3 linked regions of the Nothobranchius furzeri genome follow. The protein of the gene in region 2 purifies or fractionates together with the protein of the main gene of each other region. This does not show direct contact. Links are inferred from orthologs where the notes say so. Each region holds a gene or a part of one and is shown on either strand. Other genes may lie near its edges. The genes, in order: ints11, ints6 and serine/threonine-protein phosphatase 2A catalytic subunit beta isoform.

Region 1 (3,657 bases), on a different chromosome or scaffold from region 2:
CCCCGTGATTTGTACCGAACCTTTGGAACAACAAGCAGCAGATGATCTGCTGATCGAAGGGCACGGGTGGGAACATACGGGGTCAGCAGGTCCGTCAGAAAGGATGGGGATGGGCAGTAGAGCCTTGTAAACATATAACAAGACCTTGAAGTTAATCCTAAATTTGACTGGGAGCCAGTGTAAATCTGCAAGGACGGGTGTGATGTGCATGCGTCTGTCGGTGTTGGTTAAAAATCTCGCCGCTGCATTTTGAACCTTCTGCAGTCTGCTTAGGGCTGAGGCATTAATCCCAATCAGAACAGAATTCGCGTAATCCAGACGTGAAGTAATGAAAGCATGAATGACTGACCCAAGATCTGCGCGGTTGTTGTTGTTTTACTGTGAAATAATGATCGTTAAAACTTATATGCATATAAATAAATAAATAATTAAATAAATAAACACTTTTGTAAATAAATAAATTAAAAACAAAATTATATATAAATATTGTAGCGTCCCCACGGACACAATAACAGTCGGAGGCGCTCACTTATGCTTTAGTCTTTTTAATGACTCCAAAAGAGTTGCTGTTGGCCGCAACCACGCCGAACACAGGGAGAGCGAGACCAAAAAACCAACAACTCCTCCTCAGGGTTCGTATATATATATATATATATATATATATATATATATATATATATATATATATATATATATATAATGGTAAATGGCCTGTATTTGATATAGCGCCTTCTAGAGTCCTGGAACCCCCCAAGGCGCTTTACAACACAATCAGTCATTCACCCATTCACACACACATTCACACGCTGGTGGGGATGAGCTACGATGTAGCCACAGCTGCCCTGGGGCGCACTGACAAGAGGAGAGGCTGCCGAGCACTGGCGCCACCGGTCCCTCCGACCACCACCAGCAGGCAACGTGGGTTAAGTGTCTTGCCCAAGGACACAACGACAGCAACAGACTGAGCGGGACTTGAACCTGCAACCCTCCGATTACGGGGCGAGCACTTAACTCCTGTGCCACCGTCGCCCCACGATATATATATATATATATATGTGTGTGTGTGTGTGCTTTATAAGCAAAGCTGCCTTGCTTTGCCTAATAAAATAATACTACAGCAGCTCTTGCATGCCTGAAGCACATCAGAAGGGCCACATGCAACAGTCTGGATTTTAGTCGGTTGATCTTATCGTGACAACTAATCTGGGCCGCCGTACTGTACGGAGGTGTTAGGTTTTAAAAAAAAACTACTTCAATCAAAGCGAAGGAAATTCAAATGTCAGGTCAGACTAGAAGAAATGTGAAGAGAAACTTTGTTAGCAGGCTAAACTAAAACCACTGCCGACCACAAGGCAGGCAACGTACCTCCGAGAGCCATCTCCCTCTTCAGTAGGTTGAGCGACATGTCCACAGGAACGCTGGGGTTGGTCGTCACCATCGCTGTCTCTCCATTGGCCGGCATGTAACAGTCTATGCCTAAAATCAGACGTATTAACCAGGCTGGAAACTCCTCTCTGTTGATATACATAAAAACCAAAAATCCCAGGTCGCTGAAGGTCAGGACTACACTCACTGAACTCCTGCTCAATCTTGCCCTTAAGAAACTCCATCTTGGCGGCCTCCCCGTGCACGAGCAGCATGTTCCGAGGCTCCGCCATGCGGATGAGCTGCATGATGCCCTTGGCGTCTGCGTGTGCACTGAAGGACATGTACTCTACCTGCAGCTTCACGTCCAGCTGTTAACACAGAACATTCACATTCAGAGGGTTTTTACACATTTAAACAAGAGAGAAAAGTGTGAAAATGTTGAAAGCCTGTCTGAGAAAAGGGTATAAAGTGTGTAGTGAGGGGGTTTTACAGCCTTAAAATCTTGATGCGGCGCTCTGGGACGAGCACGTCTGCAGAAGAGAGGAGCACTGCGCCCCGGCTGGAGCGCATTGGTATTCAGGGCTGCTGTGTTTTTATATACAAGGGGAGGAGACACATGAGTCTCTACGACGTAACGACATGAAACAGAAACGATGAAGCGAGTGTGTGCAAATAAAACAGTTCACCCTTGCACACGTGCTGGGAACGGACATTTGCTGCGTTTTCGTGTATGTGACCCCAATATAACCATGTATGCTATGTAAGGTTATGAAGTTCATTATTTTCAGCTCCACACAGCTGCCCCCTGTGCACAGTTACACCCGTGTTGAAAACGCCAAGGTCGGGTGTTCCTCAGACTGTTTACATTCCAGGAGAAGAGTCCGAAGGAGAAGAAGAACGCTTTTCAATAATCAAAGTACTTAATTTGTGATTAAAGCTAATCGAAACAGATGTTGATCAATAACAATCAAGTGAATGATCTGTGAAATAAATATGTCATGATTTATGTTTAATGAAAACAGGACTATTGCACAGACAGACTGATCCTCATCTCCATAGAAACGCATGACACATTGTTCCAACCAATCAGAGCTTTCGGCTGCCGCAGGAGAATCTGGCTTGTTGACTTAAAGTATCCAATCCGCTTTACTAAAACTTTCAACAATTCAGAGATATAAAACAAGGCAACGCCATTTTTAAGGCAGTTCCATTTTGACTTCAGTTCTATTCACCGTCATCCTAAAGGAAAGCACAGACTGGCCAGATGTGTTTTCTTCTTTAAACTAAGAACTGTGAAGCTGGAGATTTTCGTCGTTTAACAACCAGACGACATCCTTTCAAAATAAGAGCACCTGCTGACGCCATCGATTGGTACCGGGGTCGACCCTCCAGACGGGCTTTGAAACGCTGCGACCGCTGCGCCGACAGCTCCAGCGCACATCCGAGGTCTCCAGACCTGGCATTTCCTGATCTACCTGGGAGGCCCCCACTGGGTACGTACACGGCAAAATAGCGGCTCATGTCATCACTTTATAAGCCTCGTGATATCTAGTCATAACAAAGACTACCAGATTCAATGACGTCAGCCTAAGGAGTCTGAACCAACCACACACACACACACACACACACCAACACAACATCCAAATCCATTTTCATCCATCACAGAGTTAGTCCTGGTAGATTGTTTAGAATTTATAATCAAGAAATTAAAGATTCTCAAACGATCCCATCTCTCTCTCTTTCCTTGTCTCAAAGTCAATACAGAGTGTTTAATTAAACTCCCTGATGATAAAAACAGCCTATTCTTCTGTTTATAAAAAGTGATCTACTTACAGTGTATTAAAATACAACTCTAGATAGTTTCGTCACTCTATTCCATTACAGCTACAAAAATGTAACTGACCACATCGCAGATTTTGCTTATTGCAGGTTATTTTTAGAACATAATGCTGTATTTGTTCTTTTTGAAATATGATCAATGACCGAGTTGCACATGCATGCTGAACGTGAAAAATTGGCTGCAGAAAGGAAATAAAGCAAGTCAGGCAAAGCCAGTCTCTTCCAAGTCACTAGGAAAATGAGTGTTCATGGCCCCGCCCACCTTGGCTTGTGACTATGGAAGGCTGTGACGATTGTGCGTCAAGAAAGAAGAGCAAGCCTTGGATGGAAGAAGCTAACCATTAGCAATAGCACCTCCAAAGCATGGCAGAACAAATTCAAGCATTTTGTTAGTTGAGATAAAACATCAGTGTTTTGTTTTTTACCCAAGAAAGAAGCGTGAATGAAGGC
Region 2 (3,757 bases):
TGGCTTGTGTTGCTGACTTTTAGGTGAAACTGTAGATTTTCCTAAATATAAAAACTAGAACAAGCTCTCATCTGTGTTAAAGCATTTAACACTCATTATGAAACTTGTTTTCTGCTATTTTAAATTGGATTCAGTCTAATAATTCTCCAAATTGATAGCAGTTCAGCATCCATGTGCCAGAAGATATTAACTTTTAGAACAACATGGAGTCTAAGTTTTCCGGTCGGCTCATGGGTTCCCGGAAGAACAAAACAAAAAAAGAACGCAAGTCCACGGGACTTAAAGAGCTATTTTCTAATCCGCTTTGCTTTACGCCCTGGATCGCACATATGTTGTATTTCAATGAAAAGTATTGATGTGTTTGGATCACGCCTGTCACGTGTTTTGAGATTTATCGTAAATACTAGGACTACAGATCAGACGTCAGTACACCGCATATCGTATATGATGTCATCACAGAATATCCTCTCCCCTAGCGTAGCTGCTACTTCTCACATGGCCAGATTTATAGTAGTTCTTTCCTCCTGAAAGAAGGATTTGACATTCGCAGAACGTACAGCCATTTTTTCTGTTCATGTCTGGTTCGATGTCAATTCGTAATGCGTACTTGTAGTCCTGAACGTTTCACACAAGACCTAAAATAACTTTCGCCCTCGTTTGAAAATAAGAGCTTTCTTGGCATCAAAATGTTAAATTTCACGGATGTCTTGTGAAAACCATACGGGATCAGAAAATAGCATTTTTAGCCTCATTGACTTGTACTCATTTTCTCGTTCTTCCGGGGCCCCGTGGTCCTGAAGTAGATGGGCTTATGCTAGATTTTGTTTCAGAAATATAATCTGGTGCATATGAGATTAGCCTCTTTGCAACCTGCATCTAAGTTTTATGACTAAAAAGACATTTTAAAATTATAGCATGAAACACTGGACTTATAATCGGTCCCTGCTTCTTTGGTAGTTATGTTTGTGTGTGACTGCAGGGGTGTGTTTGGGTAGTAGATGCTTGTAGGACTGGGGCAGGGGAGTGGGGTTGTTGTGGGTGCGTTTAGTACATTTCCAGGGGACTACATACCTGTCCATAGTTGTCTATGCCAGTCACTAATCTATTGAGATTGAGTAAATCAAAAGATGTCCTCAGGGACTGTCCAACAGTGGTGAGTCCAGTAGCTTGGAGGTTCCTCAGCTCTGTCATGAATGTGGCGTGGCTCTCCTTCCACCCAGCCTTTATGGACAAAACAAAGCACGTGATTCATAAAAGCTACTGTTCTGGTCACTAAACTACTTTAAATAACTTATTTCCAGCTTTAATGTGGAAGTATGATGATATTTAGCTGGGATGAAGATCAGCGCCGCAGCCTGGATCCTCTCTGCTGCTGGTGTGACACCAGCTCGGATCACACATGACGATGTGGCACGGTCGCAGCGTGTTCGGGACAAAAGCGGCAATTTTCTCTCTGCTAAAGTAGTCTAGTTGTCCGTCACCCCTCCTCCTCCACCTCCCTCCCTCTCTCATATCACCTCTCTGTATAAATAACACCCAGAGTTCCTTGCTGCTCGCACTGAAATAAAATGTCGGCCATGTTTTAAAAGGGGTATGAAAGCTCCTCCTGGAGATTTTCTCTACAACAATTGATCACAAGGCGGCGGGGAGATGGAGGACAGTCAATCTGCGCAATGTAAAGCTGGACATGACCCGAAAGCAGATTCTACCTTGATCCCGAACGGAGCATCTTCAAAATTTACCAGCATGTACCGGTCCCCTCGGCTCGCCGGATCTCTCCCTCTGAGCTGTGGAAAATAGAGAATGATTTACGGTTACTGGGAGATCTCGGCTTGACAAGGCGAACTTGCAACAGCACAACGATAATCCGAACTAGAATCCCGTTTGGGATCTCCCAACATGAATGTGTCCCGTGGTCACAGTACCTTCATAAAAGTCTCAACAGCGCCTTTTGCTATGTCCAGATAGGTAGTGCCCAGATGGGTGCGCTGGTTCATTGAAGCGGACGTGTCTATCAGAAAAAGTAAAACGGGCATTGTGATGGTAATGACACGTTCTGCATGGACTTGGTGTCAGTACAACCGGCCAAAACGCAAAAAAAATCTTTTGTTCTCCTGCCGCCTGTCTCACCCCTCAGCTAGCTAGCTAGCTGGCTAACTGTCTCACACATTCTTTCAAAAAAGTGTAAGAATAGTGAGTATAGAAGCCCATTCCGGGAAAACTAAGCTAAAAGCCTCGAAACCTTGGGGCAGGTTAATGATTTACGATGGATTTTGATAATTTTTACAATATATTGTAAATATTCCTAAGTTTCATAGTAACAAAGTTCCCCCTCATAGTGACTCCCTGCTTCTCCCTACACTGAATGCGTTGTGTCTTCTCCGTTGCTTTTAAATGAAGCCCCGCACCTGACCCCGCCTCCTAAGCGCTCTTTTTCTGTCACGTGCAATCAACCCAGCTTTTGATTGGTTGAAGGAAGCCACTTATTAACATATCCAAATAAGGCCAAAGCTAGTTCTCTAGTGCGCATGCTTGCTTAACCAAATGACAGGAATGCAGGGAAAAATATTATTCACATACATTTTGTGTTTAGTAACGCGACACATGTGGTAGGAAAAGCCTTTTTGGAACACCCCAGCTGTTTTTCTTTAGCACCAGTTATCAACAGCCTTGTGTTTTGCCCTGCGGAGTGATTGCATAATCAACATTTTCCTCATATATGCACGGGCGTGGGCCAGTGTGAATGGAAACCCATAAAGACAAAATAAAAAGTACAGGCTGAGATGGATGTTGTAAGATTATAACTTAAGGAAGGTAGCCATTTGTTTAGAGAAAAGGAAAACAACACACTGAAATCATGACACTGTGTGATGATCATATAAAAGATTTTAACTAACAAAACGACCAGAAGGGTTATTTTTACAGTTTTTGAACTAACATATAAAAATCAAGACACCAAATAAGTCATTGTGCGTGTACTTTTGAGCTGTTTAAGTTGATTATATGTATAAACAATTATCTGTAGACTACTAGATATATTAGTGTCACCATCCTGTTTATGGTTCACTTTTCATGCCACATGACACTGAGTGAGATAGTGCAGCTCGATCAAAAACATCAACACTTCCGCAAAAACAAGACGAAACCAACCAGTGGCTGTGATCGCAGAGGGAAGGATGGTCTATCTTATTTTTGTCGTCCTATCGCACTGCACATAGTTCATCCGGTTTGTTACTGACACGTTTTTCAAAATAAAAGTAATCCTGTGGTAGGACATCAAAAATTCTTTCTTCAGTCTGCATGGTAGCGATTTTGGTAGCACTGCTGCCTCACAGCATGAAGGTAGGTTCAAATCCTGGCGGTGGCCTTTCAGGTAATACTATTTCCTTCTGTAGGCCTAAAATATGCATGTTAGTTGATTAGCATTTGAAAATGTATTCCTGGGTGTGTTGGACTGGTGGTTTACCTGTGTGTTCTTGTGATGGATGTAGAAAAAGATGGACTGAGACCAGAGTTTCCCCCACAGCTAATGACTGCTGGAGATAGACAACACCAACCTGCAACTAAGGAGGAAGTGGTTTGGAAATGGAAAAAGTGAGGGTAATATTGCTTAGATTTCCAGATTTTGCAATAACATTGTGAAAAATATACAAGCGTTTGCAAAATGTTATCACACGCACGCACAAATTACTGATCCTTTTTTGCGAAATTCTCAACCGAACATGACCGGAAGTACTTGTTGCTTGTTACTTGTTTC
Region 3 (2,986 bases), on a different chromosome or scaffold from region 2:
AAAAGGTTTAATAAAATAACAGTTCAGCGACGGAAACCATTACTGGATTTTTATTAAAACCTGTGGTGTTTGGATCAGCTGATTCTGGGATGTCGGGATTGGCTGTTAGCAGGACGAGTCGAGTCATGTCAACCTGAATGGAGCCAATGTTCTGGGTTTTAGCTCCAGTTTAAGGCTCTCAGCTTGTGGATTGAGGGATCAAAACAGTAATGCCTTTAGTTTCTGGTGGAGAAGGTTACAGGAGGTCATCTGTTCCAGCGTCAAACATTTCATGAGGACAAGCATTTGGCTCCTTCACAATAAAAGCGGGGTGCTTGTCTCTGTGTTCAGGTTCGTTTCCCGGAGCGAATCACCATCCTGCGAGGAAACCACGAGTCTCGACAGATCACCCAGGTGTACGGATTCTACGATGAGTGCCTGAGGAAATACGGCAACGCCAACGTGTGGAAGTACTTCACAGACCTGTTTGACTACCTGCCACTCACCGCGCTGGTGGATGGACAGGTGGGACGGCCAATGGGGGCGTTGTCTGTATCTAACTCTTTTCACACGTGTTGAATGGAGTTAATGAACGTAAGAAATGAGAGTGGAGGGAAATTCAAACCTGTTTGTTTTTATTTCAGATCTTCTGTCTCCACGGAGGCTTGTCTCCTTCCATAGACACTCTGGATCACATACGAGCTCTAGATCGCTTGCAAGAAGTCCCACACGAGGTAGGAACACACGAACGCACCTTTCTAGTCTCACAAACGCAGAACCCCACCATGTTCAGGGGCCTGAAGTCCGAAGCACAGAGGCCACGTGTGCTTCAGATGGGAGTCTGACCTAAAACCACATGAACCTGAGTCGCTTAAAGGTGCACAGAAAGGATAGCCCACGGTCAAAATAAGACTCAAGGTTTCACCACAGCAGGGTATCCGCGGGTCCTTAAAAAGTCTTAAATTTGCTTTTCTAAATTTAAGGCCTTAAAAATCCTTAAAAATGACAAATAATCCTTAAATACAGTTTTCAAAGGTCTTAAATTACCAAAGACCCAATGAACAAGAATTTCTAGTTAGTCTTCAGCATTTTTTGTGTACGATGTTGGCGTAAGCGGAACCGTACACATGCAGTTGGTTGTGAAAGGGGGCTATTTTTAGATGAGCACATTAGCTGGTTAAGCTAGTGGGAGCTTGCGCCATGGGGAAGGGCAAGTTTAATGGTAACTGGATGGCTAATCCCACGATCGTGGCGTGGTTAGCACCAGTTCCAGGCAATAGCTGGAAATTATAGCTTAAATTTAATTTTAATAAATAGCTTAAATTTGGTCAAATTGGCCTTAAAAAGTCTTAAATTTGGCTCCCTTAAACCTGCAGATACCCTGCACAGTCTGACGTTTGTTAACTCACTCTTGTTTTTACACAACACAACATCGGTCTAGTCCATCTGAAAGCAGGAGGAGGTTTGGAGACGAAGGCTCTAAAAACCGACTCCGGAGATCTTCTCCATCTCAGTCAAAGACCTTTGTTCAGCGCTGACTTCCTGTCTGCTCTCCCTCAGGGTCCCATGTGTGACCTGCTGTGGTCCGACCCAGATGATCGCGGTGGGTGGGGCATCTCCCCCCGAGGTGCCGGCTACACCTTCGGACAGGACATCTCTGAAACCTTCAACCACGCCAACGGCCTCACGCTGGTGTCCCGCGCCCATCAGCTGGTCATGGAGGTAAAACTCGTGCAACAGAAGGACATGATGTCCACTGCGTGTCCTTCAGTCAGACTGGACAACTGATGTTTGTGTTTTAGTTGCAGATGAACCGGTTTTATTATAAATATGTTCAAATGTATCATGATGGATTTATTTTTTTTCAGATCCGCCAGATTTGAAGCTTTAATCTTTTTAAATGTTCTGACTTTTAAGTTCTTTTACTCTGAAATCAGGGGCACGTTTATTTATAATTAATGAGCTCTGAGAAACAAGCCTCAACTTCCTGTTTCCTGTCTGACACTGTAGGTCACATGACCCATCAGTCAGCCGGGGCCGGTTTTAACTGGACTGGTTTCTGTTTCTTAGGGCTACAACTGGGGTCATGACAAGAATGTGGTGACCATCTTTAGTGCTCCGAACTACTGCTATCGCTGTGGAAACCAGGCGGCCATCATGGAACTGGACGACACTCTGAAATACTCTTTGTAAGTAAAACAAAAGGCTTTCCTGCAGGTTTAAAGGCCGCGAGGGCCGAGAGGCGCTGCTGGAATGAACGTGATTTATTCCGACGGGGTCGGGGTAAACTTTAGCCGAGTGAAGTGGTTTGTTCTTCAGTCAGATTCTGTAAACGGCAGCTAGACTTTAACGTGTAAAAGCTGAGATAAATGACACAAAAGGCACCACTGAGGTAAGTGTTTCAGGTTCTTTCATGTTTTTAGATCACATCTGATTTCAGGAGTAAATGCTGAGTGAAGGAAAACGTACTCCTGTTTTAACCGGCAGTAGTGATGGAATCTGTGTTTCACAGGATGTACTTGAAGGCACCACAGCGGTTTCTGAATAGAAAAAATCTGTACAGACTTTTAGTTTGTTGGGAATGTTTAAACTAGGGCTGCACGATATTGGGAAAACCTGCGGTATTCGATAACAGTGATTAATACTGCGATGGCGATATTACAAATAAATAAATAAATAAATAAATAAAAACTTAGCTCAGGAACAAAAATGATCAAAAACAAAGAAATTAAAAATTCATGAAAATGAGAAAAGCAAAATATGTGAGGAAAGGGAAAAAGAAAATTAACAAGAAAAGACAATCAGTGGACCCCATCAACATATAAATATTGGACAATGGGTTTCCATAGGCTCCAATATCACGTTTTTGAGGACAAATGGGAGGTGGCCACCACCGCCATTTTGACCGTGTCACAGGTTTCGTCAAGCCCAGACAATTCCACAAAAGGGAAGAGAGGAGGAGCTGAGGGTGGGGCTGTAAGGCTGGGATCAACTGACGACACCCGGT

The links.
Region 1: the proteins of ints6 (region 2) and ints11 purify together in Homo sapiens (affinity purification with mass spectrometry; 3 studies listed by BioGRID, with this or other methods). This does not show direct contact. The link is inferred for Nothobranchius furzeri from reciprocal best matches to the Homo sapiens genes INTS6 and INTS11.
Region 3: the proteins of ints6 (region 2) and serine/threonine-protein phosphatase 2A catalytic subunit beta isoform purify together in Homo sapiens (affinity purification with mass spectrometry; 3 studies listed by BioGRID and IntAct, with this or other methods). This does not show direct contact. The link is inferred for Nothobranchius furzeri from reciprocal best matches to the Homo sapiens genes INTS6 and PPP2CB.

The regions. Positions count from the first base shown.
Region 1 is NC_091755.1:39,112,208-39,115,864, reverse strand, and holds part of ints11 (integrator complex subunit 11), read right to left. Parts: intron 1,737-3,657; coding exon 1,574-1,736; intron 1,477-1,573; coding exon 1,366-1,476; intron 1-1,365.
Region 2 is NC_091754.1:31,095,652-31,099,408, reverse strand, and holds the start of ints6 (integrator complex subunit 6), read right to left. Parts: upstream 2,264-3,757; 5' UTR 2,037-2,263; coding exon 1,926-2,036; intron 1,788-1,925; coding exon 1,710-1,787; intron 1,222-1,709; coding exon 1,072-1,221; intron 1-1,071. UniProt on the Homo sapiens protein: Component of the integrator complex, a multiprotein complex that terminates RNA polymerase II (Pol II) transcription in the promoter-proximal region of genes.
Region 3 is NC_091750.1:36,858,898-36,861,883, forward strand, and holds part of serine/threonine-protein phosphatase 2A catalytic subunit beta isoform, read left to right. Parts: intron 1-330; coding exon 331-504; intron 505-623; coding exon 624-713; intron 714-1,539; coding exon 1,540-1,701; intron 1,702-2,049; coding exon 2,050-2,168; intron 2,169-2,986.